4 linked regions of the Oreochromis niloticus genome follow. The protein of the gene in region 4 interacts with the protein of the main gene of each other region in a pairwise test. Links are inferred from orthologs where the notes say so. Each region holds a gene or a part of one and is shown on either strand. Other genes may lie near its edges.

Region 1 (7,830 bases), on a different chromosome or scaffold from region 4:
CTGCAGGGGACAGGATGAAAAGGAGGGGGGAAAGAAAAACCTTCAATGGCCAGAGGAAATTGCTTAAACCTCAACACTTGCACAAATACAAACCATTTAGTTGCTGAATGATTGTGTTGCATGTCACATACATGTAATAGCACACATACCAATTAAGTCTATAACACACTGAGCTACCCCACAATATTTCCTAGCTGCACAGGCAAGTACTGTTTTCCCCTCAACAGAAAATATTTCCTGCAAGTCATACATTATGCAATTAATCAGGACCCTGCATTACATATTAACTGTGTCAATGAATTCTGGCCAAACAGTGTAAAAGGAAAACAAGCTGCAGAAGCCTGCAAGACCAGAGAGAGATTGGTTGACTATATAGTTCTGTCCACTGTGGTAGTTTAAATTAAAAAGAAAAAGCACTACAAAACATGACATATGCTTTAAACACAATGACAGGCTTTTTTGAAAGGCAGACTGCTTTGTTGATGGTAGAACAGCTGCCATTAAGGAGGGCCTAAAACAGCTCTAAATACTTCCACCTGTGAGAAAGACTAAACATTAAGATGAAGATATATTCCACTGGCTATGTAATCATCCTGCCTCAGCCTTTTAAAGCAATCTGTCTGCGTGGCAGATGAAGTTTGTTATTTAACTGCTGTGTCATCATAAACCACATTGCATACTGTCAGTGCTAATAATGTATTACGTTTCCCTGAGAGAGATTATCTCATTTCTATGGAGCATTCGAGATACTAATTGGAAGGGTAAGGGTAGTTTGTCTTGTCATCATTACATCAGCAAAGCACCCCCTCTGTGTCTGGAACTTTCTATCCTCCCCTCAGGTTGGATGCAGAACTGTGGGTCTGCACTGTCATAAGCAGGTACTGTCGACTGCAATAGCGCCTCAGTGGCATCGGTGTGAAGTCCTCGACCCACTGTCAAGTGACAGAAGGGTGATGCCGCTGTTATCTTTATGTAACCTTTAATGTGTACAAATCACTGCTTTTGGGACGACCTGAGAGACAATCCAGGAACAGGTCAGGCTGTAATTTCATATTTTGTCATTTGTCATCCGGCACACAGCCCTTCCTTCCTTTTTAAAATAGTCGAAGCAGCAAACGAGAAAAAAAACGAACAAACAAATATATGATGTTAATTTGAAAGCAAGTAACTCCAAGCATCTAATGTAGGGGAGGAAGTGCATTTGGGTTGTATTGATTATTTCTTAATTTATCCTCAGCAAGCTCCATGTTACATCCAGAAAAAACAAACCATTTACCATTTTAGGGGAAAAAGGGGGGGATAAAGTTTTGCTTTAAGTTACTCAAACTATCAAATGCAATTTATTTTGTTCTGATTAACTAAGACATGCTTTCAAGTCTGAGTCCCTGGGGGTTCCTGGAACACGGGTAACCCTTTCGCTAAACATCCTGATATTGTGCTGCTAATGTCTGAGTAACAGAGGTCAAAAAGGATACAGCATGTTACATGAGATATTAAATCACATGCAGGTCCAAAGCAGTTTTCCAGACCTACTGTCAAGCTGCCAGGCTATAGAACTACTACCCTAATTACTATAACAGCACAAGTTTAATGAATAGACTAGAGTTCCTTCATTGTGTGATTGAAAGTAATCAGAAATTTAGTAATCAGGAAATTAAAAAAAAGAAGGAAAAGAAAGCCTGTTCCTCTTGTAAGACAGCAGCATACCCACAATGCATCACACTGCTTTACTTTCTATTTTTGTTTTCACGAAGGCAGGGCATGCTATCCTCTGGCCTGTTTTTCCTCTTTAACCTGGGAACTCAGTGTACAGTTTTCAGTATGACTGGAGTTTGTTTTTACCGGACAGAGGAGCATTACTCACTTCAATACACCCACATAGGGGTTTCCTATCAATACTTGCATCTGCACCTGCGAAACTCAACGCCAACAAACCTCCCACATCACTAGCAGGCTAACTACAAATAAATAAACCAGCCTGGTTTAGTTTCTTTCATTGCATAACTTGCTGCCTTTGCTGGGTGTGTATACGGACCCCCGGCCTTGCCTTGCTTTACCCCTCGGTGAATCCATCCCCCCCTCCCACCTTCTAAGACATTTATGAAACCGTGGTTCGCCCAGACATAACAATTACAAAATACAACCGCCCTCCCCCCATAATAAGTTACAAAACCTGCTCCAATATGTGTCACGACCTGCCTTACGCAACGTGCACCAAGCGCGCATGCCCATCTTGTGCAATTTCGTAAGCTGGGCCCAGCAGATAGGCAGAGCAGGAGGAGACTGGCGTCAGTATAACACATGAAATTAAGTAATTACTACTTAAAGAAAATATTGGTCACCATGTTGTCCCCTCTGAATCCATTGAGGGCACGGGCCATACACGTATCCCGCTCCCGTCACTACTACACAACCCTGGTTAAGTAATAACACATCCGCACTCCAGTCACGCCTGCTCGGTGAGAGTGCGCAGTAGACACACCTCTCCCGAGTGCACGGCTGGCACTGTTAACAACACTGACCTGACTGAATCACGTCGGTTGCTAGCTCCACGGCTTCTTGGTAGCGTTTTCTTCTACAGAGTGCGTCCACTTCCGTTACTTTTTTCGATTTTTCCACTTCCTCCGGGAACCATTTACTTAGTAGTGCGCACAAAATCACGTTCACTTTCTCCTCGCCCCTCACGTGTTCACTACACAGTTTACATTTGTGAAGTAGCCGTCGCTGTAAGCATCGTTTACAGTATGAATGTCCACAGGCTAAGGTCACGGGTTCACCTAGAAAGCAGTGACAGTTAGGACACTCCAGCACGTCCTCCTCCGCGGAGCTCTCCGCCGCATCCCGGCTACTACGGCCCGACAGCGGCTCCGGCCCGGCCGCTTTCCTCTTAAAGTTGCGGAGGATACAGTCCACGAAAGTGCTGAGCTGCTCGGGCCGCACAGGACTGTACCGCATAGCAGCTGAAAACCAGTCAATGGCTTCTCTAAGGCAGTTTTCGGACGCTAGAGCGTTAGCTTTCTGAAGTATAAGTTCATGGTGGTCCTCCTCTTCCGAGACGTTGCCCGAGTCAGCACCGATGAAGAAGGCGCTTCTCTCCTCCAGGGCGTCCGCCGCTTGCGGCTGGAGCGACATATTAGCGTCTAAAAAGATGAGCAATAGTATGTTATAGAGACTTAAGTTTTCTTCTGGTAACGTGTTTATACATTTCTACGGCTGCCGTGGTCCTTTGCGGTATATTGAACGCACTTTCCCACAGATACCCGATTGTTACATAAAAAAAATAATTGTCACGTGAGCAGCAGACTCGTGCCGTGATTGGTCGGGACCTCTCGGTTACAAAACCTGCGCTTGAAAGTTTCATAACTACGGAAGAGACGTAGTAAAGTTGTCAGTGTGCCAAATGTCAACGCTCTAACTGGAACTTCTTAACCTCCAAGTCCTTTACAGTCAAATAAAACCAAGCAGAAGTCATATTACTGCGAAAGTTTGAGCGGGAGGTTTTGACACCAGGGGAAATAGGAAACCTACCAGAAGGCATTCATAACTGCTTGTGTAATACGATTTTGTAACACTTTCCCAAGTGTCAGTTTTATGTAATTAATTTCATGCACCTTATGCACCTATTTCCTCCTTTTTCTTTCGACTTTCTCAGTGTAGTTTCATACTTTCATTTGCTGCCGGAAATATTTACTCTTTGGTTTTTTAGAAAGTTTTGCACAGAAAAGCAAAGATAACAACTCCCGGTCACTGCTAGGATTACGTCACAGCCATATTATTTATGTAACGGGAAATTACCTTTCTCCAGAGGTAACAGGGCTTGAGGTCCGGTGTCTGGGGAGGTGTGTTTTTCTACCCAGGTATGCTTTTACTGCAGTGGCAGTGTCTTTGGGATCATTGTCATACTGATATATGAAGCTTTTGCCAATCAGATGGTTTCCAGATGGTATTGCATGGTGAATCAAAATCTAGCCGAAATACTATTGGTGTTGTTCCAAACCATGACAGCCTTTTTCCCTTGTTTCCCTTCCATACGAATGTCTTCTTGACGGCCACCCTTCCACTGAGACCATTTCTGATAAGACTTCGACAAACAGTAGGTGCAGATGCATCTCTCATGTCCGATTTCAAGTCACATATAGGAAAAGTACCCAGTTTTCGTGATCGTGAGAATCGTGATCTATCTATCTATCTATCTATCTATCTATCTATCTATCTATCTATCTATCTATCTATCTATCTATCTATCTATCTATGTCCGAACATAGTTTGAAGGAAAAAGACGAAGGGCCAGTATTTATTTATTTCCTCTGTTTCTTCTCCTCTCCATGTTCCACAAGAAGTAATCAAAATATTCCAAAGCAAAAATAAATCATTTTTTGAGGCAAATACATTAAACAAATTGTCTACATCTACACAACAAGAGGTTTTGTTTGACATTTTGCATTGTTCACACCAAACAGTTACTCTGATTGATCATCTGCCAGCTCCGAATCTGCTTCTTCAAACTGGCTGTTGAGTCACTTCAGCTCTCGGGATCTGTCAAAATATGTTCTCCTGGCTGTAAGTTTCTGTGCTATCTCGCAGAGTCTAAACAGTACATATTGCACAGAGTACATAGTGGCAATTGTGGTGATACTATGGTTATATTATGATAGCCATCGAACAGGATATCCACTCACGTCCCCTCATGCTTAACCAGTCTCGGCTTTAATGATACACAGATGTTCAGAGGTCATCAGCTCTCAGTGAAAAGTAAAAGGGTGATTTATGAAATGCTGCAATCTTTGGGAAAACGCTGTAAAAACCTTACACAGTGTAGCTGACGTTTTATGAGGCGGTGTGAACCTGATTGAGTTTTGTATAACGTGGAGGGACACCTCCCTCTAGTGGTTAAAGAATGTTATTGCTTTAATGGACTTGTTTAAAAAAAATTATTTGTAAAAAGTTATTTATTTACAAAATGTCTGCACTGAATAAATACAATAAAATGTGTATCTATTTTTGATCGAATGAATTTTAAAGCATGTCACAGAAATGTTTTATACCCCCCAGCATGTTTGCACTGAGTAGGAGATGCTCTGTATCTCATTGTACAGCTGTATAGTGACAATAAAGGTATTCTATTCTATTCTATTCTATTCTATTCTATTCTATACTGAAAAATAGAAATCTACATAGCATTAATGATCACTTGTCAACGTGCAGTTCATATGTAATATTTCGCATGGATCGCATTATTTGGTGCTTAGCACATTCTGCTGGTATGCAATACGCAGAGTGCGATGAAGCAGTTTGCACTGTCATGTGATAGGCTTGTTATAAACACCAACTAGAGGGCAGTGTTGCACTGTGTAAACTGAGTCACAGTCTGCTCACTCGACTGATCAGATGCATAAACCAGCATACAGCTCCATGACTAACCTCAGGAGGTTAAACTTTCAGTTTAACTTTTTTGTGTGTGAGTTGTGTGTCCACTACAGAGGACGCGAATGAGCAGGCTGGGTCTCAGAAGGTTAAAACTGTGTAGACGCACAACTTGAACTTTGCTCATTTGCTACATTAAACACGTTACAGTGCCACTGATGATAACAGAGTCAGCACACCCTCCTTTCATGAATCTTCCTTTCTCTTTCCTTGTCACTCTCATATAATTTTAAAACCGATGTCACAAAAGCTAGAAAGGAAGTGTCATCCTCTAAAATCTTAATTTATTCTTGATCAACAATTCCCAATTAAATGTGTCTTTATTAAGAAGCTATACCTGACATAGCCTTTTTATTTTTCTGTAATTAAGATCGTCCCTCTTTATTTCTAGATCCTTGCAAATGTGCATCCGTATGGTTACTCTGAAGAGTTACAGACTAACCATAGTTTGTGGATTTGAAGCACAGAAGGAAATAATCAGACCATATACTGATTTCACAACCGATCACAAAATTTTACTATGGCAGATGTTACTTTGTATAACGATTATCTGACAGTTGCCCATTTGTCTATGCAAAATATAAGTCTTCCTCACATGTGAATGATAGTTAGAGAGCAAACATGCTGGCCAAGATATGTTCTTTAACTGCCACATTAAACAAATCTCTACAACCGCCTTCTTTCACCTGTGCAACATTGTACAAATTAGGAACATCTGCTGTCACAGTGATTCTGAAAAACTAGTCCTGCGTTTGCCAGTTCAAGGCTGAATTATTGTAATTCCTTATTTTACTTATTCCTTATTGTCCACCATCTCCTGTCGAGTTTAGTAAAGATGACAGCACTCTCTGTGATGATGCAATGCATAGGGCTGGTTCAGGTGCTGCTTTAGGCCCAGGCTGCTGGAGGACTCATAGTGGTGCTCGGCTCTGTTCTCCTCTTGCTCACTTATCATCCACTTATATGCTGCTATTGCACGTCAGTAACTTTGTGTGTTCTGTGTTAAATCACTCTTTGTCTGTCTCTATATGACCCTGAGTCTGAAGTTGCTCAGTATTACTGATTTAAAAAAACAACAACAAAAACTGCTGTTTGTTTGGTTTGCCAGCCAGTGAAGGCAGGTGGCTGTCTTTCCTGAGAAAATTCTTTTGGAGCTTTCTTCCTGTTAAAGGAAGTTTTTTCTTCCTACTCCCCACCAAGTGTTTGCACAAAGGGAGTTTTTTTAAATAACATAACAAAGCCTTCATATGGCATATTTTAAAAAAGCAAGCAAGATTATTACCACACAAAAATACAGCTAGATCAGTTTGATCAATGCAAGATGCCCAATGTAACTGACCCCAGTTACAGATCCTAAGATTTAATTATCTCTTTACTTCCACTTACCCAGTTCGAGGGGTTGGGGGGCCGTTTTTCACGACATAGACAGAAAACAAGATAAAATGTATGCTATTTATCCCCAAAACTGTGAAATTATTGTGCTACAGCATGCAAAACATTAAGCATACATAAATTTAGTAGATATTAAGTAAATATGACAAAATAACTCAAGAAAGATGTAGTAATGAGACAGAAGCAGGAGTACAATTACATAAAAATGAATTTAAAAAAGTGAAATAAAATAAAAGAGATTGGTGAATTTAGCAAGGAGCTGCTAGAGATCAGTAGTGCGATGGCTGAACAGTACCAAATTTGACAAGTTTCATCAACTCATTAGCATAAAGTCTAGCTCAGGCAGTAGAACGGGTCAGCTACTAACTGGGAGGTTGGTGGTTTGATCCCTGGTTCCCGGTTGCTCCAGTCTGCATGCTAAGTATCTCTGGGTAAGATACTAACCCAAAGTTGCCCCATATAAATGAGAGCACTTATGTAGAAGAAAGTGCTTGTATGAATGAAGTGCTCTGAGTGCTCGGGTACAGTAGGAAAGACCCATTTAAACGAACTGGGAGCAAAGTTCTTCCTTCTTCCCCTCTTAATTAATAACTTTGTGTGATTCCCGTGATCAAAAGCTTTTAAAGCATAAAACACATAAAGAGTGACGAGTTTCTAACTTTATATTTATTTACAGTCTCGCTTAAAGAATAATTACACAAACCAGAGTCACATTTACAGTCACACTGGTTCTCATAGTTCATAAAACTATTTAATCTATCCAGCAGAATTCTTACAGTTACCAAGACTGCTGACTTTAATATGAAGCATCCTGAGATATTGGGAACTGGCATTTAGAAAAACATTGTATAAAATGAACGCAGGCCTGCATACCCGTGTGTTTATTGTACGTAGCATTATGTTCGTACACTGATGTACACGCTGTACTCGAGTGCTTCGCAGGCTTTGAATTTCTGAAATATAAAGATAATCAAAGGAACTACAGAAACACTGTGTGACTAAACCCTCGTTCTT
Region 2 (7,308 bases), on a different chromosome or scaffold from region 4:
AACCATTACTTTCAATTAATTATCTGCCAACAATTCTTTAAGTTCAATCAATTCTTTAATGAAATTGTAATTTAATTAACTGCTCTTGCTAAAGTACTCTCTGGGGTACTGGTAACTCTGGCTGCATACCTCACTTTCCTAGAACAGATCGTTTCAGGCAGATGGTGAAAAGAGGTGCAGCAGCAACACTATGCACAGTACAATATGAGAAAAATGATTTTTGAATACTAATGAATGTAAATTTATTGTAGTAAACCCCTAAATTGAAAATGAGCATACCAGGGCCACTTTAAAACACAAACACTTCAAATTTGGGTATGCATCTGCACACACACAAACACACAAACACACAAAAACACACGCACACTTTGGTCCAGTTTCACTGCAGCTCTTCGTCGCTGACGTCCACTTGCTGGATGATGAGGTCGGCCCCCGAGTCTTCTGCCAGGTCATCGTCGTCAGTCACCATCCAGCTCCTCTTTGTGTCCCCCTCCTCCTCCCCGTCCACACCCAGTAACAGCGCCGGCTCCTCGTTGTGGCCCTCCAGGCTGTTCATGGGGATGTCGTCACAGCCCACTTCCTGGATGCACGCTGTGCACATGCGGTAGCGTCTCGTGCCCTCACACACCACATGCCCGGTCTCCTCGGTCACTTGACACTTACACTTCCTGCACACCAGCTTCCTGGCTTGATGAATCTGGGAGATTAACAAGAAAAAGAAAAGATTGGATAACGATTTATTAAATATTAGAGTAAATTTGTTTAGCAGCTTGTTTTCCTGGAGCTGTAAGCCGACACGGACACCGAAGAAAGTGTAAATTTACCATCTGCTGTGAAAACACCTACCGTCTCAAAATGGCTGCGTAGATGCTCCAGGCGAGTAAAGCGCTTATTGCAGGCCTGGCATGGATACGGCCTCTCACCGGTGTGACAGCGCAGGTGACGCTTCAGGTCTGCTTTCCTCTTCACTGTGTGTGTGCAAAAGGGGCATTTGAAGCGCATGGTAGGATTCGAATCTGCAAAGAGGAACAGAGAAAATGTGACATTTGACTTTTCCCTATCATCTCTGTCCAAGTGTTCCCGTCATCATCATCTTCTGGTGGCACACACCTTTATTAAAGTGTCCAATAACACCCACAATTGGTGGCAGAGTGGCGTAAAGCTCCTCTGCCTTTTCAGCCTTTCGTGTCCGCGCCTCCTGGATGTCCAAGTCTTCGTGCTGGTTGGACCGTGCGCTGTTGGTCGCTCGCCTCTTTGTACTCCCTTTTCCACGCCGACGGTCTGATCCAGGCAAGGTGTACAAAGGGTCCTGAGGGTCCTGGAGGTCTTCTGCATCTGCACTGAGCTCATTAACAGGGCTGTTTGGATCAGTCTTCAGGGCCGAGGCCGAAGGATCCTGGTCCGAGTCCTTTCCCATAAAGCTAGACTGTGATCTGGAGTTGTCCCGAGTCCAGAGCGCAGGTGGAGGGCTGACAGAGCAGGGGCCCTGATGCTGCTCTGTGGAGTCTTCTCCTGCTCCGCTGGTAAAGCTACAGGTCTCAGACAAGCTGAGGCAGCGATCGCTGTCTTCATCTTTCACACTGATGTCCAACGAGGACTTGATGAAGTTCTTGCAGTAGCTGATGACGTTGTTCATCTGCAGATAGCTGGCTGCAGACATGACTTCAATCACATTGTGACTGGAGAGGTCCAGCTGGCCAGAGTAGATGAAATCCAGGATGACCGTGAAGGTCTCGGGGCTGAAGACGTCAAAGGTGGCGTTGACAGTGTCATCGGGCCCCTGGGACAGCAGCATGCGGAAGTAGCCGCTGCTGGCGAACAAAACATTGCGGTGAGCCCTGAAGAGCTGGCCCTCCACCAACACACTGCAGTCACAGAAAAGCTCCTGGCGGCGCTGCTGGTTGAGCTGCTTCAGCAGGTTGCTTTGGTGAGACACTGTGATGTCGGCCGTGTTGAACCACCTCTGAGGCTGCCTGCAGGAGACAACATGACAGCTCGCTCACTAGCTCTGTATGCAAGACACACTCACTTCTTTAGCAAGAAAATAAGAAATGACACAAGTCCTGTAGACCTGGTGGACATTCATTACTGAACTTCTTCCCAATGCCAAATTAACATGGAAAACACAGGCCGCTGGATTTTAATGGTCTGGTAACAGCCTACAATGGTAATCATGCCACATTCATCTGAGCATAATAAACACAACAGCATCACCACATGCTTGCAGCTGTCAATTTTTGCATCTTTGTCTTTACACCGGCTCAGCAGAAGGCCCGCCCACCTGACTTTTTTCTGCATTTTGATTTGTTGAAGGATCCTTCAAGCAAAATCTTCTCCTAATGGGTTACACCCGACTCAAGTCAGTCAGAGAGCATCGGGTGACAAAACCTTGAATCATTTCTGAGGTCTCACGCGCTCCAGAAACCCCCGACGGAGTAAACGCGTCAGACTTGTAGGAAGAGAAAATAAAACACTGCAGCCGGACACGCAAAGAGAAAAAAGAAAAAGAAAAAAAATAGGTCCAGCACCCTGATTTTCAGACCAGTTCTTATTTCACGGTAACCTGTTCAATCCGTGCTCATGCAGGCTCGGGATTGCACGCACCCGTGTTTAATGAGCCATCAGCGCGGCTGTGTGACAACCTCCGCAGCGCCCGACAACCCACGGTGCAACGCCCGCCCGCAGGACTCCATGGTGCCTTTCACGGCACGCGAAATCAAGTCTAACGTCCCCACCGAGCTCTTCCGCGTAAAATCAGACATCCTTCGACCTACAAAGCGACACGACAGTGCTGCAGTCCTGCGAGAGGAAAGCGGGCAGCTCAGTCTGTCTGTCCTGGAGCGACGCCCACTTCAGGCTTCAGCCAGCACACAATAGAAAAACAGACACAAACCTCCGGCAAGTGAGCGCGCTGCGAGCTGGAAAAACACATCTATTCGCATTGTGTAACAGTCTGGGGCAACGACGCGCTAACACGCCCGTTTTCATCCTCAAGACCACCCCCACTTCTCTCCGGAGGTCCGGCGAGCAGCGGGGAGGATTTGACTGCTGCCCAAAGCGAGCGACTGCTTCGCAGGCGCGAGGTGTCGGCAGGACCCGCTTACGCCCCACGCCTTCATACTCCCCCTGACAAAATCCATCGATACTCACTGGTGGCTCGATTCACCCGGCGCCCTGTACAGTCTGCTCGCCCCCAAGTCCGCCACCATATCCATGTTTAATTCCCGTTTGCCTTTCCCCCCCTCCGCTCTTTTCTTTGCTCGTCCAGGGTCCACAGTCAGGCACTTCCTGCTCAGCCCTAAAGACCGAAACCCGGTTAGACCGACTGGAGCACTGTGCTGACGTGGGTGTTTATTAACTGGGTGCCCGAGGGTTCAAGGAGCCATTTAAAGTCCCAGTGCCCCGTTTAAACAGACGCCCTCACTGCGAAAGGAGCGATATTCATACAGTATTTGTGCAGGGACTCATGATGCTCCTCTAACCTTATCACACAGGTCCGAGTCTTTAATCTACCCCCCCATTTCTGAAAAAAAAATATTTGTATGTATTTAACAACAACCAGGGTCACAATCACTCCACACAGTCAAGGCAGAAAGTGCACGTTTCAGCTTTTCAGTAAGAAAATTAATTTATTCTTTCATTGTTATGGCTCACAGATCAATACATTTATAGAGAAAATATCAGTTGTTAAGTCTGAGCTAACAGCAAAGAGTAAACAGACATTTAGATACTCTTCTTGTAGTCAGCTGAATCATTAGAGTTTAACAAAAATAAAAACAATGCAGCTTCTCTTGAGGTCTTATGTGTCATTGCGCGAATGAGGAAGCTGGTGGTTCCCTTTGGTGATTTTAAAAGAGGATTTTTAAGCAACAGTCCACTCGGGTTGCGTCAGCAAGTGCCGTTAGAAAATCCAGTGGGGTTCATGGACTGCCAGCGCCACAGGTCCTCACCTGCATGGAAAGAGGTGCAAAGAAAAAACACAGAGATCATACAGGAGATACTACAACACTTTTATTTGACTGTAGAAAAGCAAACATGGAGAAGAATCAGATTTTCCAGCGTGGCTGTCCTTACACATTCTTTCCAGGTCAAATTGAGCCTTCCAGCCCAGCTCCTTCTCAGCTAGGCGAGGGTCGGCGTAGCAGGAAGCTACGTCTCCTCCCCTGCGAGGGGCGATCTTATATGGGATCTAAACAGAAAACACATTGTGTTAATTACATGGACAAATAAGGTGATCAGAGGTATTTCCACAGTGCCAGATTGGTGGTGCTTTGCGTCACTTCCAGAAAACAGACTATAAACATGATTCAGCTCTCACAGTAACCACGATGACTCACCTCTTTTCCTGAAGCCTTCTCCATGGCTTTCACCATCTCAAGCACTGAGTAGCCTTTTCCTGTCCCAAGGTTGTAAACCTACAGACACACACACTAATAAATACCTAAAGCATCTATGTGACAATGGTCGTGATGGAAATTTGCTCCAAGTTGTTATACCTTGCACCCGCAGTCCTCCTTCAGCTTCTTCAGAGCAGCGATGTGTCCCTTTGCCAGATCCACAACATGAATGTAATCTCTCACACCTGCAAACAGAAAGGAGCCTCGTTTGCATGGTTCTGAGTATCTGGCTGCTATTTAAAGTGCTATTTCAAAGCTGCCTGCAAGTGCAATGATTTGCAGTGATTTCCGTTACCTGTGCCATCGATCGTGTCGTAGTCATTTCCATATACGCTCAGACACTCTCGTCTCCCAACGGCTACCTAAATTAAGCAATGCAAGCAAATCGGAGTCATGCGATTCATGGAGACAGATGAAACAGTGAAATAACAATCACTATGATGCGCACAGCGTGGCATCTGGCAGAGACTTTAGATACCTGGGCAACATATGGCAGCAGGTTGTTAGGGATACCCTGAGGGTCCTCTCCTATCTGACCGGAGCAATGAGCTCCGATTGGGTTGAAATAGCGCAGCAGCACAGCATTCCAGTCCTGCCCACAGAGAAGGAATAATGAGACACTTCAGGAGATGGAAGTGTGCACATCTGTGAATGTGTTTCTTCTGAGTTTACCTTCTCAGCTTTACAGTGGTCCTTGACCATCTCCTCGATGAAGTACTTGGTCTTCCCGTAGGGGTTAGTGCAGCCTCCCACGGGGTGCTGCTCATCTATGGGTAGGCGCTGGGGGTCTCCATATACTGTGGCGGAGCTGCTGAAGACCAGATTGCGCACTCTGTGAGCCTGCATCACCTGGGACACATGCAGATACACATAAACATGGCACATACACACAATCAGTGGCCGGAGAGTCAGCAGTCCACAGCACACGTGCATTCAGCTCAGGGCTGAGGAAAAAAGGCCGATTCTGGCTGTTACGGTGAGCTCCACATGCATAACATCTCAGAAGGACGCGGTTTTAGAATTTATCAGCTCATTTTCAAATGAGCACACGGGTGTGCGCTCGGCAAACACAGAAGAAGGTCAGAGCAGGGATTAATAATGAGTGCAGAGCAAAGATTCAAAGTGCTAATCTGAGATCACCCAGGAGCTACTGACTGACCTCAAGCAGGTTCATGAAGGCGGTGAGGTTCACTTTGTAGTAGAGTAATGGCTTCTCCACCGACTCGCCCACAGCTTTCAGCCCTGCGAAGTGAATCACAGCACTGAAGGAATGCTGCAACACACAAACAGAGAAGCACGTGTGACACAGGCCGCAAATACTACAAATGAACTGCTTTTCATGACAGTTTATGCAGGCCAGCAGGGACATTTTTAAGAAAACAAGCAAAGGCTATAAAAGTTAAATGGTGGTGCATTTTTCTTATTGCTGATTGTTTTATGGGTGTAACAGTAAAGCAGAAATTGGGCTGTTTTTTCAGCTAAACAAACCCAAACATACTGACTTTACAAATCAAAGTGTCTACACTGTAAAACAGTTTCAGATGCAGATAAATAATTAGAAAAAACAAAGCAACTGTAACAACTTTCTGACCTTTTTGAACAGCTTTTCCAAGCCGGGGCGGTCGAGGAGGTCCAGTTCATGAAACTCAATGCTGGTTTTCAGGAGCTTTTCTATCCTGCGTATGCTCTCTGGCACATTCCCTTCTCCTCAATCCAAAACACAATGGATATACACACACACACACACACACACACACACACACACAGAAACACCAGGTCTAAGTATCACGCTGATTATTTTTCAATTCAATTCAATTTCATTTATATAGCACCAAATCACAACAACAGTTGCCTCAAGCCGCTTTATATTGTAAGGTAGACCCTACAATTTTTTCAATAATTTTCTCAGTAAAAGCTCTTCACTGGTGTGCGTAACGGAGCTTACCTCGCACAGCGTTACTGAAGTTATCCACCACGACTGGCTGATAGCCTGCTTCAATGAGCTCCACCACACAGTGACTCCCGATGTAGCCTCCTCCACCTGTGACCAGCACCTTCTCTGCCATTCTTTGGGTCTGATGGATAAAAGATACAATCACATCAAGTCAATCAAAATCCTCTCTCAGTCTGAATGCTGTAGTGGAAGCAAAACTATGTCATCCTGACTGGAGGATGAGGATATCCTTTATCCTGACACACCTGAAAGCTTTGTTAAGTCCACTTTAAAGCTAAGTGACACACCTGTATTGTCCCACGTCAGCAGGTTCAAGCCTTAACCTGTCCAACCACATGAAACAATTATATTGCTCGAAGAATAACACGTCAGTGACTACTGGCTATTGTTAAGAGCCATCTTATCTTTTGAGAGAGTGATATTCTCTTTCCAACAGGCCACAACTTCCTTGCACTTTGTATGATGAAACTTTATTACTCAGTTCCAGTTATTACTCATCTTTAAGACATCCTGTTTATTCCACGGAAGCAATCAGAATATCTCAAGGCTTATACTTGATCTCTTTACAGGTCGTCACACATTACAGTTAATTCAAATGGATGAAATATTGGATCAGAGCAACTTTAGAGGCTTTTTTTTTTAAAAGAAAAAAGTAAAAGCTGCTTCTTCAGGCTAATTAACCAAATCTTATAATATTACTTGAAGAATAAAGACATAACCTAAGTAATAAGTGCTAAAATGACACACAACAGTTCACTTTCATTTAAATTTTCTATAAAATACTCACCGAGGTTCTCTTTAAGAGGTGAACAGGCGTTTCCGGTGGAGACTCTTGATAAATGTTGTCGGAAGCAGAAGCAGAAGAGGTGAGTGTTGAAGGTTTATCCGTCAGTTCATTCAGTGAAGTCTTCTAGTTTTTCCTGTAGACATTTCTTTACTTCCTGTAAAACGTGGGGC
Region 3 (7,598 bases), on a different chromosome or scaffold from region 4:
ACTGAGCAAGCACTCAGTTTCCATCCTGTTCTCACTTTGTCTCTGTTTCACAATTTTTGCACGTTTTTATGTTGTTTTATTCTCCAGTTTTTAAATGATTTTCTGACAGCAGACGTCTGTGAAACTTTACACCTAATACAAAATTCTAAAAAGGTGAAGGTGGTCAGTCCATTCTCTTTTTATATACACCTGAAGAGTAGGACCCTCCCCTGGTGGCGTCTCCCCAGATGGAAAACGCTCCACTAATGCCAGCACAGCTTCCATTCTCTGGATGGCATCTTGCTCCGTATCCAGTCTGTTCTGCAAGGCTCTCGACTCGTGGCTCAGAGAAACAACAACGTCTTTTTCATGCTGCAGACGTCTGGCAGACTATACCGGGGTTATATGAAAAAAGAAAGAGATTAAAAAAATAAATAATAAAAATCTGCTAAATTATAAAGGAAGCCCCAGTTTGCTGATCTAATAAGAAGGTATTTCAGTTATAGTCAAATATATTTGGAAAAACAATTTTGGTATCCTCATACCTGTATTATGTCCTGTTCTGTAAGGTCTATCAACAGTTGAAGGTTATGTTCAAGCTCAGGGAGCGCAAAGCCTGATCCCTTCTGATCCCGAGTAGACATGCTTGGTGGACCTTCATCAGGAACGCTGTGCTTGTTGGATATCTGACTGTAACTGTAGTACACCTTCTGCTCTCTTCCAGTCATGTCTATCACCTAGGCACCGGGGGCAGGTACGGGGTAAAAAAGGTTAAAAAAACAACAAAAAAACAAACAATAATAGCAGAGTGCATGTGCTTACATAGATACACCAAACAACTTCACCCATAGAGTCTAATACTGACTACAATTAACTTTAGCTGCTAAAGTTTGCTGTAAAAAACAACCATGCCACAGTGCCCTTATAACACACCTCTGAGAAAGGACAAAAAAGCACTAATACCTTGACCTGTGCCAGCTCCCCAGCAGATGCCGCTGTAGCCCGCCCCGCCACTTTGCCTTTAGCTCTGAGCTCATCTGCAGTTCTGTAGGAGTACTTCGGTTTCTTCTTTCCTCCCGACCCTGCAGGATCCTTACGCCACTGGCCCAGCTCCTTCTGAAACTCCTACATCAGCACAAATTTAGATTAATGTAAAAAAAAAAAGAAAAAAAAAAAGACTTTACAATTCAACATCTGCTTACTTGTAGAAAAAGGAAAAGCCAAATTTTGTCCACACTTTACCTTTTCCTCCTCTTCATCAGAGTCCACCACAGGAAAATCTTGGAGAGACTGCGGAGTTCGCTCGTTTCCATAGGCTCCGACTGCCCCCTTTCCCTTACGAACCTTTGCTTCAATAGGGTTTACAATACCTGCAGCAATGAGAGCATGGAAGAACAAAGTAGATCAGCTCTAAAATACACACAATACTCTTAAATACTTCAATATTGTTGCCTCCTCAGCCATTCCTACCTTGAGCATTCTTTCCCAGGCCTTTTCCTGGTTGGTAGCCCATTTTCTGCAGTAGTTTCTGCCCAATTCCCCTAGTGTGCTTCTCCCAGCTGCCAATGCCTTGTCCAGACTGTATGCCACCTGCAAACCTCTGTGACTGATTCCCACGGAAATTACCCTAGCAAAACAACTCAGCATGTAATTGTTCCTATAAACTTCTTTGAGATATTTATGTGCAATATACACACAAACAAATCACACATAACCAAATTTACCATTTGGAGTTTTTTGGGTGCACGAGAAGGTGGAGGAGCTGCAGGACCATCATCATCAGAGTCGTCAGAGCCTCCTTCCCCTTTCAGCTGTTTCTCCTCTGCTCCCGTCTTTCGCAGACCAGCACTCACAAAGCTCACTGGGACAGTGTAGTCTTTAGATCTAGCAATAAAAACACAGACAGCAAACTCAATCTCCTACTAATGGCCGACTTTAAAGCTGTGGGCAACAGCAAAAACAAACCCACGCCTCACCTCTTGCCACCAAAGCTGGGCCTCTCATCTTCGTCTGAATCCCTGTCAGCCCAGATGCCGTAAGTGGCCTGTTCCTTGGTCTGCCTGTGCCTGTGGCGGTCTGGGTTGAACTCATTGGCCAGGTCCCAGTCTGTCACCTCAAAGCTCTCAACCTCAACACCCTCCTCCTCCTCATCTCTCCGCCCATATAGGTGTGACATGGACATCTCTGGAGATCATAATGAACAAAATCACAATTTAAAGAAATGTAAGTAATTTCAAATAAATTTGCTCTACTCGTTTAAAGGTTAGGTAAAGACCTTTGACATGGGATCAGAATAATAAAATACATCCATCTCCATAGCAACAGATCAAACTCAATCTACTGTTGAAAGCAATGAGTTGTAGCTCAGAGCACAGGGAAAAACAAAGTCAAATACATTATAATAAAACATAATATTTTCGAGCTATAACATTTTTCTTCTTCCAACTGCTCTCTTTAGAGGTCGCAACAGCAGATCCTCTAACCCTGTCCCTAACATCCTCCTCTAGCACAGCAACACTCTGCATGTCCTCCTTCACTTCCTCTATGAACCTCCTCTGTGGTCTTCCTCTTTTCCTCCTGCCTGGCAGCTCTATATCTTGCATTCCATATCAAACCACTATCCCTCCTCGTCGTTACTTTTACACCCATCTCTCTCTCTCATTCTCTCACATGTCCTCTGTTCTCCAGAGCACACCTCCAGCTGTCCAGGCTCTCTTTCACCTGCTCCCTACTCTAACTACAGACCACAACGTTGTCTGAGAACATCCTATCTGAACTAATCTGTCAGCCTGTCCACACTTTGAGGCTCTATTGCTGCAGATTCCAGATCAGCAACAGTGTCGCAAAAATTAGATCAGTATAAATTTAAAGAAAATTTTTATTTTATAGAGACACGTCTTAAACACACACATCACTATCTCAAATATTTGGTTCGTTAGTTGACACTAACGACACCGAACAAATTCATCTCTGTGGAGAAAACACAATGTAAGCTAACGATAACTAGCTATAGCTAAGGTTAGTTACCCTCTACAGCATAAATGTCTTGCTATACGTAATAATCTCGAGTGTTGACAAGCAGTGTAAACACCGTGTTCTCTAACGCACCTGAACAGTTATATAAAGGTCTGCGTGGAGATCAATTGGACATGCTTTCGTTCAAAAACGATGAGAAGTAATCCACACTAACGCCAATAGCCTCTTCGTTTAGTGCACGACAACACAAGTACTTCCGGTATGATGGTGTTACACCAAAATCTGTACCCCTCTAAAAAATTTCGTTGGTTCTTAGTAATGACTGTTGGCATAGATAGGGCAAAGATGCGTTTATCTCATTTATTTTGTGAAGTAATGTTCGTTTCAGTAGTAAATAATAATAATAATAATAATAATAATAAAAACACGGTATATAAACTCAGTTTAGTTTTTTCCCCCAGGTTAGTAGAAATTCATATTACATCATCCTATTAGTTTAAGAAAGGTTCATATGTTAAATATATCAACTACATTTCAAAATGTATTTATGTGTTTATTTATTTAGAAAAAATGTGCCTACCCACTTTCAGAATATTATTTCGCAGTAACTTGAGGCAATATTTGAACATGAATACCTAAAATTATTAAAGATAAAAGTCTCACTGACTTCTCTTACTATAAAAGTGAATCAGGATCTGTAATTTGGGACACACTGGTTAAATAAAATATTAAATAAGTACATACAAACATACATAAAACCACCCTCCAAAGTCCTATATGAGAATGTATTAATAAACAAAATTAGCTAAAAACAACGGGGCAATTTCTAGTTTGCTTCACAATAATATACATAATTATATATAATAATATTTAAAATAAATACAAAAAATTAATGTCGCAGTTTCTTTAAATCAACCGAGCTGTGCATTATTTGTAAAGTAATTTAATGACCGCACACCACCACCAGGTGGATATTATTTGATGGACTACAAATTTGGCGTAACGCCGGAAGAGGAAACGCGTGTTACACCCAAAATATTCCCACATGTTGGTCACTTGTCTACTGAAGAAAAAAAAATGCTTTTCGTTCTTTGATAACTGGACGAGTATTTTTTTTTTAATGATATGCTGGGGTATTGGTGCTAAGTTAGCATAAATGTCGGACACCGGAGGGGAGTGGCGGGTGGCTCGGCGACGAAAAGGTGCGTCGAGGAGCTCAAAGTCTCTTCAGGTGTCTGCAGCATGCGGGCAGGAGCCGCTGGACGTCGGGAAAACTGTTAAACGCATCAGAGACACCGTGTATGAAATTAAAGTGTAGCTCAGCAGCAACACCTCGGACGTCTCATCTTCACCACAGTCCCATAACTCTGCTTTTATTTCACCTCTGCAGGTCTGAACTAAGATGCAAAGAGTTTTGGCAAGATTGGAAGGGTAGGTTTTGCTTTGAAAGTTGGGGTTACCACCAAACATCTGGCTTGCAGCTGTGTGTGTGATTGTCTTTCTGCCTTTAGAGCAGCTCTTGGTGGCGGCATCAGCATCTCTCTCAAAATCTCCAGCGGACAAGGACGCTGAGGACCAGCCGGAGCGGATAACCAAGACATGCCAGCAGCTGGAGTGTGTGTGTTATGGTCTCGGTCCGTTTGCCTCCTGTGTCTCAGCCCGCTACCAGCTTGCCATGTTGCTTCTTCTACTGGAAGCAGGACAGGTCAGGGGAGGCTTCATCCTCAGTTAGATGACAAACATTCACACCAGACCCTGCTTGTTATACATATTATGTTTCTCCCTGTTAATATCTCTTCAGATTCCTCTAAAGGACTGCTCTGTCTATGATCCAGTCTTCTCCTCTGGAGAGAGAGATGTTCTGAGAGACCTGGGTCTGACTGTACTCTCAGAAAATGAGGTCAGTTGTTGCTCCCTCATGTTTTTTTTTGTCCTGGTAATTAAGTCAAACACTGTTAATAGGCATATACTAAAGAGAACTGTGTCATATAGTACATAAAACTTTACAGTTCTTTCAAATTTCAACTATATTATTATTTATTATCCATTTTATATTGAAAATGGGGACTACAACATTGTTTAGGGGAGTAGACTGTGCAAACAGTGTGTGATCCTGTGTGTCTGTATTGTTCAGGAGGGGAAACGTTTGGTAGAAAAACCCACATTTTTTTACCTTATGCATTGTGGGAAAGCCCTCTACAACAACCTTCTGTGGAAGAACTGGAGTGCACGGGGTCTCCCTCTGATGATAATCATCGGAAACAGCTTCACTGGGATGAGGGAGAGGTTTGTACGAGAAGACACGTGCACGATGGAGTCAACGTTTAAGCAAGAGCAGTGGAGATGAAGTTGACATCTGTCTGTTTCCCCAACAGGACGATCGAGAAAGAGTTTAAGCGAGATTACAGCTACATCAGTAAGGCTGTGGATTTTAGTGTGGAGAGAAAGCTCGCATGCCCATCTCATCTGATAGACGTCTTCAATGACACAGCAGTCATCACATTTCCTTCCAACAGCCTTAACGGTCTCCCACAGTCTACCTGGGCAGAGTCACCTGAGCCACAGTACCAGCACAGCCCTGATTTGGAGATTATACTGAAGGAAACTCGGAGCTGAGGCAGGAGATGGATATGGGACGTTTTTTATTGACTGTTGTCATTCATATGACAATTTTTTTTTTTTTTTTTAATGGACCTGTTGTACTTTTACTTAATTATATATGGTGACAATGATGGGTTTTCATATTAAACACTGACCACGTTTCAGAGTTTTCCAGTGAGCTAAAACCTCAGGGATCAGACTGCCCTAAACTCGCTGTTTAAGACCATCAGGGAACCTTAATTTGGTCAGTTCCAGATGTAAGGGACAGAAGCCCCTCCCACTTACTGTTCAAACCCTCTGTTTGTAAGCAGAAGCCAATCAAAAGAAAGCTGGCATAAAATGGAGGAGAGCTAAAACAGCTTCTTTACAAACAGTGACAAATTGAGGGACTGGGCATGAAGGCCCACTATAAAATGAGGATTATTTTGAACTGTGGACCATGCGATCTATTCAAGAAAAGCACAAGAATTAAATTGTTGAATAACAAATCCTGCTCATAAAGTCTGACTTTATTCAGCTGTAACAAATTCTTTAATAGAACTGTAACATTTTATGTATCTGGTCCTGAATTAGCCACGATACAACCAAAGTATGCAAAAGAGCATATCTGAACACACAATGTTGAAGCAGGTGAGATTCAGCAGCAGAAGACCACACCGGCTGTCACTCTTGTCAGCTAAGAACAGGTAACTGAGGCTACAATTCACATGGAAAGTGATTTGCATGGATCCGTCCTGCCTTACATCTAGAATTCAGGCTCGTAGTGTTGTTTGGGAGATTTTGACACTTATTTGGCTCTTTAGTGCAAACTGGGCATTATTTAAACACCACAGTGCCCATCTTCTGATGGCTGCTTCAAGCAAAATAACATGTCACAAAGCTCAAATTATAAACTGGTTTCTTGAATACTGTAACTCAATTGGTCTCCACAGTCAGATGTTCAAAACAAAACAAAAACCCACATCCCACCAAGAAGCAAACACACATTAGCATGTTACAAAAATGTAACTTTATCAACTCTACAAATTTTTTATTTATATTCACATGAATGGAAATTCTCATAGGGTTGAACTGTTACATTGGTAATTTAAGTATATAAAGACAATAAGTTGTATTTCTTATGTTTGAACCAGTCAGATTCAACTTTTATATAGAATAGCAAGATTTTATAAAAGCTAACCCTTTTTATTTTACAGTCTTCTACCTTCCAGTGCTTCAGCTCACCTGTGTACAAATAGAACTTCAAATTTGGTCGGTTTATTAGGACACATGCATCCTGATTTACAGATGAATAGAGTTGATACCTTTAAAATTCACATTAACATGATATAAAGTCATGTCATGTAAGTGCATTTAAAAAAAAAAAAACAAAACAAAACCTGAAGGCACACTTTTTAATACACAAGGTAAAAAGTTTATTATTGAAAAACAAAACAAAAAGGTTAAACCCTCTTAGAGTCAGTACTAGGGTAAAATCTTCAGCATAAAGTAATACTCATTCTGTCCTTCTTGTTCATTGGATCAAATTTCATCAGGAAATACTGGAAGAGCTTTTAATCTTACAGCAGTGACTTTGGAAAACTCGATTACAACTCTTTGTTTGCTTCGTGATCATTCTTCAGCTGTTCCATCGGCAGTGCTGCCATCTCCTTCTCCATTTACGGCTGTAGCTTTGCCTCTGGACTTTGAAACAACATCTGCCCAGCTCACGCCACTTCTCAGGGCCGATGGGCTTGCAGGGACGTCCATCCTTCCATTTATTTCGCCTGAGCTTGACTCCATCTCATCATTTACCGTGTTGACCTTATCAGAGGCCGCTTTGTCACCTTCTGCACTGGTTTTCTCCTTTTGCTGGTTTTGCTTAGCTGGCTCAATCACATGACCATTAGCTGAAACCTTCCCAGTGCTCTCCAGAGATCCTTCTACTTGTTGGTCCTGCTGGCACTTGCTTGTATCCTCTGCTGCTGCTGGGTTTCCCCCACCCTCTGGTTCCTTCCCACATCCCGTTTCTCGATCTGAACGTTTCCCTCCTTCATTCACAG
Region 4 (7,284 bases):
TCTATCCTCCATGTTCATTATGTAGCCGACTGAATTATGTTGGATAAGTTATGTTTTGGAAATGAAAAACTATGCTTCAAACATGCACTATGAACCTTGTTGTGTTGATTGCAACAAGAGAACTGGATCCAAAAACCCACATTAACATTACAGCTCTAAAAAACAAAAAAATAATAAACAAGTTTCAAATTAAATGAAAAGTTAAAAAGATGTGCTTTGGTGTTTTAACTAATTATTATGGAAAGAAGAAACCAGTGATTTAACGGTCATTAAAATATATTTAGAATTTGCAAATTGATGGCGACTCCTTTATAGGTTAAAAGTGCTGGTATTGGCTCGATACTAGGGCGATATGGCCTAAAATCCATATATAACAATATATATCGCGATATATTCTTTTCTTCCGTATTTTCGCACTATAAAGGCGAACTTAAAATCCTTTAATTTTCTCAAAAATCGACAGTGCGCCTTATAATCCGGTGTGTCTTATGTATGAATTCTGGTTGTGCTTACTGACCTCAAACCTATTTTATGTGGAACACGGCGCTCAAAAATCTGTCAAAAATGTTTTAGTACGATTTTGGTAAGCTACGAAGCCGCACCGCTTGATGGATTTTCGGAGCATTACAGCTGCCGCAGTCAGGAGCCTGGCGGAGTAATCTGGGTCCAAAACTCCGTCTGCTTCAGGTCCCAAAGCCAAATGAACGCTGCGACATCACTGAGCATTAAAAACTGTCTAAATTCTTTCATCTTTAATAAAATGATCAGCGTTGCTTCTTTACCAGGTGTAACAATTAAGTTTAACATCCAGGCATCCATGAAAACCGAGCAGAGTTAGGAGTTAGGAAGGAAGGAAGCTCGCTAGTTTCCACCTAAACATGATATAGCATGTTCTGACAGAGAGGTTTCTGAAAAAATTCAAACGTACAGCTCTGCTATCACTTCCAACATAAGCGAAGACAGAAAACTAAACAGCAGTGACTTTTGTAGGGTTACTGAAGCATAATGATGTGCTACATGATCGCTAGCAACACAGCTATGTTAGCATAACATAAACAGTGAAGCTGGAGGATGAACGCCAACTTTTTTCCACTCGATAAAAGTTAACGTGAGGGTCTGACGGTTAGGGACAAATGCATGGCAGGATGCTGTAAATGGACCAAACTTCAGTCAGGACAACAACTGAGATAATCCATCCACAATACGAGGTTAGTTATTAGTATACTGCAACAACATGGGTATAGAGCAACTGCGAGAGAATTCAACATTAATGAATCAATGGTACGGAAGTGGAGGAAGGGCAGTTTTTGCCTTTCCTCATATTCCAAAACGTGCTTCATTTCTTCGCTATTACTGTCGCCCAATTTGCAGATGACATTGCTTGCAGCCGCTGCGATGCTTTCGACCAAAACAGGCGCAGCTTGATGAAACCATCAACATGCGCTATCGCTGCAGAGCGGTATAGTCAAAATCTCTACCGTTGGCCAAATTCATATCGTTTCTACCGTATACCGTTTATACCGCCCACCCCTACCCGATACCAAACTTTCCACTATTGCACAGCATTAATACAAACACAAAGCCAAGGATTTGCTGAGCTCGCAGCGCCTGAAGTTAAAGCGACGGTGTAGCTCACCTCACTGGTGGGTTTTTGTTCATGAACATCTCGATGGCCTTCTCATCTTCAGCGTCAACAACGATTTCTGTGTCGTACTCAACATCTGCAGGATCTGCTGCTCCCAGCGCCGGCCATTCTTCATCCGAGTCAGCATCCTGAGAGTCAGGCCCTAAAATAAGATTACAAGACGGAGATGGCTCATTAGAAGATCACACTGAAATGTTTTAGGTATAAATATTTTAGTTAAGTAAGGTTTCTTGATAAAGACAATCACAAGGAAAGATTTTACACTGTAACATGGATTCAACATGTGTTGCACTACTATGTATTTGTGTGAAAAACTCCTGGGTCATTTAACAATAGGAGGACAATTCAGGCTTTAAAAATATCTTATTATTTTATAATATAATATGTGTTTAAGAAAAAAATAAATATTAAATATGTCCAGATCAGGGATTAAAGATAAACTTTTTATGATATTTTAGTTTCTGTACGCATCTCTGCAGCCAATACTTCAGAACCCGAAAAAGTAGATTAAAAAATATTGTTTAATAAATTCTTGAGCATCTTTCACACTTGATAACAGATAACACTCAATTTTTATTCATTTAAGCAACTTTCAAAACCTACCAAATTTTCAATATGTACTTTTTTTTGGTAATTTCAGTATTCATATTTATATCTGTGCTCAAATAACACTATTCATGTAATAATTAAAGCAGTTACAAAGGCAGCAGATTAACAGATCAAACCCTTGTGAGCTAATAAAAACATTTATGACAATTTTATTAAAAATGATATGATCAGGGCTAAAAAAAAATTAGTAGTGTAACAGGGTTGCACATGATATAAGGGCTGAATGGATATATTACTTTTATTTATAGATTATGACATACCTGCTACAAATAAATATCCAGGACCAGAGAAATGCTATTTAATGATATTTTATGTTTTAAAGTGTGCTTGTGAGAGTGTATTTTATATGTATAGTAACAAGGCTGCAAGTCAGAGCTAGTATTAGTTTTTTCTCATGAAAAGATCTGTGCTGTGGAATGTTGTTGATTATGAAAGTTAAGGACAAATATAGGTATATAAACAAAAGAAGAAAACTTTTTAATTGATTTGTCTCCTTTTGATGACCAAAAGCGTAAGTAGAAAACATCAAACTACGTTGATTACAGCTACCTAATCTAGTCAGAAAACATTGAACAAATGCGATGTGTGTCAAAGCCAACTGACTTTTGATCTCCCCATGGTGTTAGCACTTCACTCGCCAGACTCCATTCAAATATCTGCCAATTTAAGGATAACTACAACACCAATCCAACATTACCGAGAACAGTGACTGGTGCTTTCTTCTTCTCTGGTGCCAGCCCATATTCGGTCTGAAGTTCCTCTTGTTGAATGCGGGCTTGTTGTAAGATTTTCCGTGACAACCGCTCGTCCACGTACTTGTCGTCGCTTTCTTCCCGGGTGTCTCTGATCTTAACCCGGCCTTTAGCTCGGACAATGTCCGCCTGCAGGATCTGGTCGGCCAGCGCCACCGGCGCGGCTCCGCTCTTCTCTCCTCCACCTTTGGACCGTTTGACTTTCGGCATCGCTGCGGTTTTACTTCAGCTGTGACCACAGTGTGGATGTTTCCGTGGACATGTGCGAGCTACAGGACAGACTTTACCAAACACTGTAAACAGTCACTGCTTCAACACGTGCGCAGGTCCGGCAAGAAGGAAGTGACGCATCGCACTCACGTAACATCCAGCTTTCGGCGACCACTTCAGAAAAAAAGTACAGCAAAGTCAGTTGACTGTTTCATTGTGAAATGGTGTTAATATTCACCATTCTTTATTATAAATAATATTTTATTTTATTTTTATTTTTTCTGTTGTTTTCTTTTACTGTACCGGAAGGCGTTTTGTTTAACCCGGAAGTGCTCAAACACCGTACTACAAGTGAAGAGAGGCAAAACATCAATGGGTGTTACTTGGTAAGGTGGTTTTTAAACCTACGTTTGATTTTAAACGTTTTTTAACCACTAAATATTCAAACAGATTTGGCCCAGCCTCAACCACCCTGCGTGTTTTTTTCTCATTGATCCGCGGAGGCGTGGCTCTGTCTCATTCAGCAATGCTGGTAACGTTACACGGAACAAAGTGTATGCTGGTCCCTCAAGTCCTCTGCTTGCTGTGCCCCTCAGTGTGTGCCAGGTGCCCGTGGCGGAGGGGAAGAGCGTGCAGCAGACTGTGGACATGCTGCACAAAAAGCTGGAGCAGCTGGGCGCCGTGAAGCAAGGCAGCTTCTGCGTGGACTGCGAGACTTACCATGCCACGGGAAATTCCAGCAGTAATATTTTTTTATCTGTTTGTTTCTGAGCTTTAGAATTCAGATTTATAGATCACATTAATGCAGACGTATTGCACTCACCCATCAGGTTGACCTGATGTCCCTGTCTAGGTGGGGCTGCAGAGTATTTTATCCCCTTTTCGTGTGATTGTTTGCAAAGAAAAAAAGATTGCCGGTATTTGAACTGTTTTAAATGACTTATTGGCCTATAATCTCTCAAACAGATCTCTCATGAACGATACTGAGTCATTTTGAGTCAGAAAGAACATTTCTATCACAAAGCAGAACTTGTTTTTTTGCAAAGTGATTTTCATATTTCCCTTATTTATCCAGCTAAAAGTGTCACTGACATAAAAAAAAAAAAGTCTAGAGAGATCTGGCAAAGAGGGCAAGAGAAATTGTGACAAATATAACATCAAAATTCTATAAAGGACTAGATAAGCACTAGATAGATAGTAAGGACTAGATTGACTATAATATAGGCACAATAAAGGCAGGATAACATATAACATATAACCCCCCCCCAGAAATGTCACTTTTTTTGTCACGCGAGCTGTGGCTCAGCTGGTAGAGAGCGTCATAGATCCCCATCTCCTCCAGTCTGCATCCTGAAGTATCCATGGGCAAGATGCCGAACCCTAAGTTGCCCCTGATGCATCCATCTGTGGGTGTGTGTGTTTGTGTGTTAGAAAACACTTAGGCATAGACAAAAACACTGTATGAATGTGAGTGTGAGACTTGTAGTAGGAAGTGCTTTGAGTACTCAGCTACATTAAAACGAGCTATATAAGTACTGGTGTACTGGTTCAATTTCCAGTTTGATTGGCTGTAGTTAGGCCAAAACAGTAAGGCAGTCACTTTTATTGGGAATTTATGCTTCTGATGTGCACCTCCTTAGAAATGTTACTACGAGTTCCATCGACATACGGTTACTGTCCTCTTCAGTACCGCTGATTCCTCCTGTGCGTCTTTGGCTACTTTTCCGCCACAGTTTTTGAATTTATCTGTGGGAGAATAACAATTATCATCAGTATAAGTAATAGTTATATATCTATATGGCCAGAAGTCTTTTTCCTTCCTCTTTTAGCTGTTTCCTTTAGATGTCACCACAGATCATCTGCCTCTATCTCACCCTTGCAGCTTCTTCTGTCACACCAACCATCTACATGTCCTCCATCACTACATGCATAAATCTCTTCTGAGGTCTTCCTCTTTTCCTCCTGCCTGGCAGCTCCTCTGTCTTTAACATCCTTTGCCCAATATATCTACTATCCCTCACTGTACACGTCAAAACCTCAGGTGCAAATCTCAGCCTTGCCTCTCTAACTTTGTGGAACTTTCATTTCCTTCCTCATCTCACCTGACAGTTTTAAGTGTTGTCTGTCCGTTGTAGGTCAGCCCTCCAAGCTCCTGTATGTGATGCACAACTCCGAAACCCCCCTGAGCTGCTTGGCTCTGTTTGAAGGTGGACCCTGCCTAATAGCGGATGCAAATTTTGATGTCCTCATGGTGAAGCTGAAAAGTCACTTCCAGAATGCCAAGGGACACAAGGTGGAGTCTCGTGGTTCGAGGTATCGCTACTGCGACTTCTTGATAAAAGTTGGTACCGTGACGATGAGCTCCAGTGCCAGAGGGATATCAGTAGAGGTGCGTGTGTGTATATATATATATATGCTGTGATAAAGACGAGTCACGTCCTTCTGCTTTCTCTCCGTGAGGCGCTAACTCCTGGCTTGCTTCCTCAGGTGGAGTACTGCCCTTGTGTCGTTCCTGGGGACTGCTGGAACCTCATGAAGGAGTTTATGCAGTCCTTTCTCGGCCCCAGCGTCCCTGAACTGCCATCTGTGTTTGCTGCCAAGCCCGAGGGACTCTTTGCACCAGCAGACTGTGTTGACACCATGACTCAGTACCTGGAGTTGTTCAACAAACTGCGCAAGCTGCAAATCCCTGGAAGCAATGTGCGCTGAGTTTGCAACAAAGATATCTGTTTTTTTTCTCTCCATGTTTGTACAGATGTTGGTATATTCCTGGTCCTATGGATCAGCGTTAGTACCCAGGCATTTTTTATTTTTTTGAACGTCTGGGGTTTTATTATCATTGCAGAACTTCACGTTAGCGTTGGATGAAAGCATTTGCAATAAAGAGACACAGTGAAAACAAGTAGTCAGAGTCTCTGAGCGTTCATACTGCGATGCCCTTTTGATGGTGCACTTTTATCTGAGAGTAGAGACACGAAGTATTCATTGATTTCTTGCTAGTTTACACAGGGATGAACCAATTTATCAGCTGAACGCTGGCCCTGTTGACTGTCAACTGATCTGATGACGTTTATCGGTGAGAGAGGTCGATTTTTATCTGTTGCATCATCTAAGTTTTGCGCTGGCTTAACGTTTAAAGATGATGTCACAAGGAGGTGAGAGATTTTTCTTTTCAAACAATCAAGTTTTCTTTGTTTTTCTCTGTCAGAAAGACAGGAATGAATGAACTAAACGTTGACTACAGGCCCAGGAATTTCACAGTCAGTCCAATCCCAAGGTTTATGCAGTTGGATTAGTGTTCCAGTATTAGGTGGAGGCTAACAAGTGAGGCTTGTCCTTACACGTGTAATGATTTTACAGTGGAAATGCTTTATTAGATTACAAAGAAGTATCTGTGCAGGTATCTTAGGGTGACAGTAAGTTAGATTGTTTATGTTGGATTGTTTAAAATGTCCAAAAGACTGGATCTAGCTTCTAAAACCTGAGAATTTAATTCTGTTTATAGATACTACATACTACATTATCTACAATAATCTGAAGATCTCACTTATGCTTGGCATCGAGTGGACTCTTATGTTAGAGCAGGAAAAAAAAGTAAAAAATGCAGAACAATGTCCTATTAAATTACCAGTAATTGGTAATTGTATTTAAAAAAAAATATATAATTCAAGTGTCCTACTAAATCACGATAATTACTATTGTTAATATGGTTATTTTTATCCATGCGTCTCCTAATCTCATGTGAAAAAATCCTGGATATCCAGCGTAACCACAACTGTAATTAAAGCTGATAAAACTGACATGACTTCTCTTTTAGGACTTGTGATATGTTATTCAGCTTTCAAACTCTCCCTGAATGCTGCACATTTCTTCCAGGCAGCGGCTTTCTTTTTATGTTTAAACTTGAATTACACTGATTTGCGCTGACGCATTTTGAAAGTAGTCCCTCCCCACGACAGCATCCAAAGGAGATGCGTCTCATAGGGCGCTTAAAGCTACACACACGCACACTACACGCGCGCGCCTCAGGTGTATTTTACCAGATTAACCCTACCGAGCTGACACATG

What was found.
Region 1: the proteins of bysl (region 4) and lonrf1 interact in binary tests that used the Homo sapiens proteins (3 or more experiments, as listed by UniProt). The two-hybrid records come from large-scale screens. The link is inferred for Oreochromis niloticus from reciprocal best matches to the Homo sapiens genes BYSL and LONRF1.
Region 2: the proteins of bysl (region 4) and zbtb8a interact in binary tests that used the Homo sapiens proteins (3 or more experiments, as listed by UniProt). The two-hybrid records come from large-scale screens. The link is inferred for Oreochromis niloticus from reciprocal best matches to the Homo sapiens genes BYSL and ZBTB8A.
Region 3: the proteins of bysl (region 4) and tfip11 interact in binary tests that used the Homo sapiens proteins (3 or more experiments, as listed by UniProt). The link is inferred for Oreochromis niloticus from reciprocal best matches to the Homo sapiens genes BYSL and TFIP11.

The regions. Positions count from the first base shown.
Region 1 is NC_031971.2:21,181,560-21,189,389, reverse strand, and holds the start of lonrf1 (LON peptidase N-terminal domain and RING finger protein 1), read right to left. Parts: upstream 3,290-7,830; 5' UTR 3,133-3,289; coding exon 2,523-3,132; intron 1-2,522.
Region 2 is NC_031983.2:27,605,925-27,613,232, forward strand, and holds the start of zbtb8a (zinc finger and BTB domain-containing protein 8A), read right to left. Parts: upstream 3,141-7,308; 5' UTR 2,989-3,140; coding exon 2,894-2,988; intron 2,888-2,893; exon of another isoform or gene 2,299-2,887; coding exon of another isoform or gene 2,282-2,298; intron 1,974-2,281; coding exon 1,111-1,973; intron 1,017-1,110; coding exon 847-1,016; intron 698-846; coding exon 380-697; 3' UTR 1-379. Other genes in the region: gale (UDP-glucose 4-epimerase), read right to left, coding at 3,889-3,950, 4,075-4,189, 4,338-4,415, 4,497-4,582, 4,693-4,759, 4,876-4,989, 5,070-5,246, 5,557-5,670 and 2 more. UniProt on the Homo sapiens protein: May be involved in transcriptional regulation.
Region 3 is NC_031977.2:17,583,059-17,590,656, forward strand, and holds the start of tfip11 (tuftelin-interacting protein 11), read right to left. Parts: upstream 3,234-7,598; 5' UTR 3,088-3,233; intron 2,164-3,087; 5' UTR 2,162-2,163; coding exon 1,956-2,161; intron 1,864-1,955; coding exon 1,704-1,863; intron 1,607-1,703; coding exon 1,450-1,606; intron 1,350-1,449; coding exon 1,222-1,349; intron 1,105-1,221; coding exon 943-1,104; intron 717-942; coding exon 525-716; intron 370-524; coding exon 190-369; intron 1-189. Other genes in the region: srrd (SRR1-like protein), read left to right, coding at 4,112-4,254, 4,346-4,386, 4,467-4,660, 4,757-4,855, 5,090-5,241, 5,331-5,571; si:ch211-166a6.5 (clustered mitochondria protein homolog), read right to left, coding at 7,168-7,598. UniProt on the Homo sapiens protein: Involved in pre-mRNA splicing, specifically in spliceosome disassembly during late-stage splicing events. Intron turnover seems to proceed through reactions in two lariat-intron associated complexes termed Intron Large (IL) and Intron Small (IS).
Region 4 is NC_031970.2:21,835,882-21,843,165, forward strand, and holds the start of bysl (bystin), read right to left. Parts: upstream 3,364-7,284; 5' UTR 3,217-3,363; coding exon 2,952-3,216; intron 1,788-2,951; coding exon 1,637-1,787; intron 1-1,636. Other genes in the region: med20 (mediator of RNA polymerase II transcription subunit 20), read left to right, coding at 3,589-3,602, 3,813-3,958, 5,352-5,605, 5,704-5,925. UniProt on the Homo sapiens protein: Required for processing of 20S pre-rRNA precursor and biogenesis of 40S ribosomal subunits. May be required for trophinin-dependent regulation of cell adhesion during implantation of human embryos.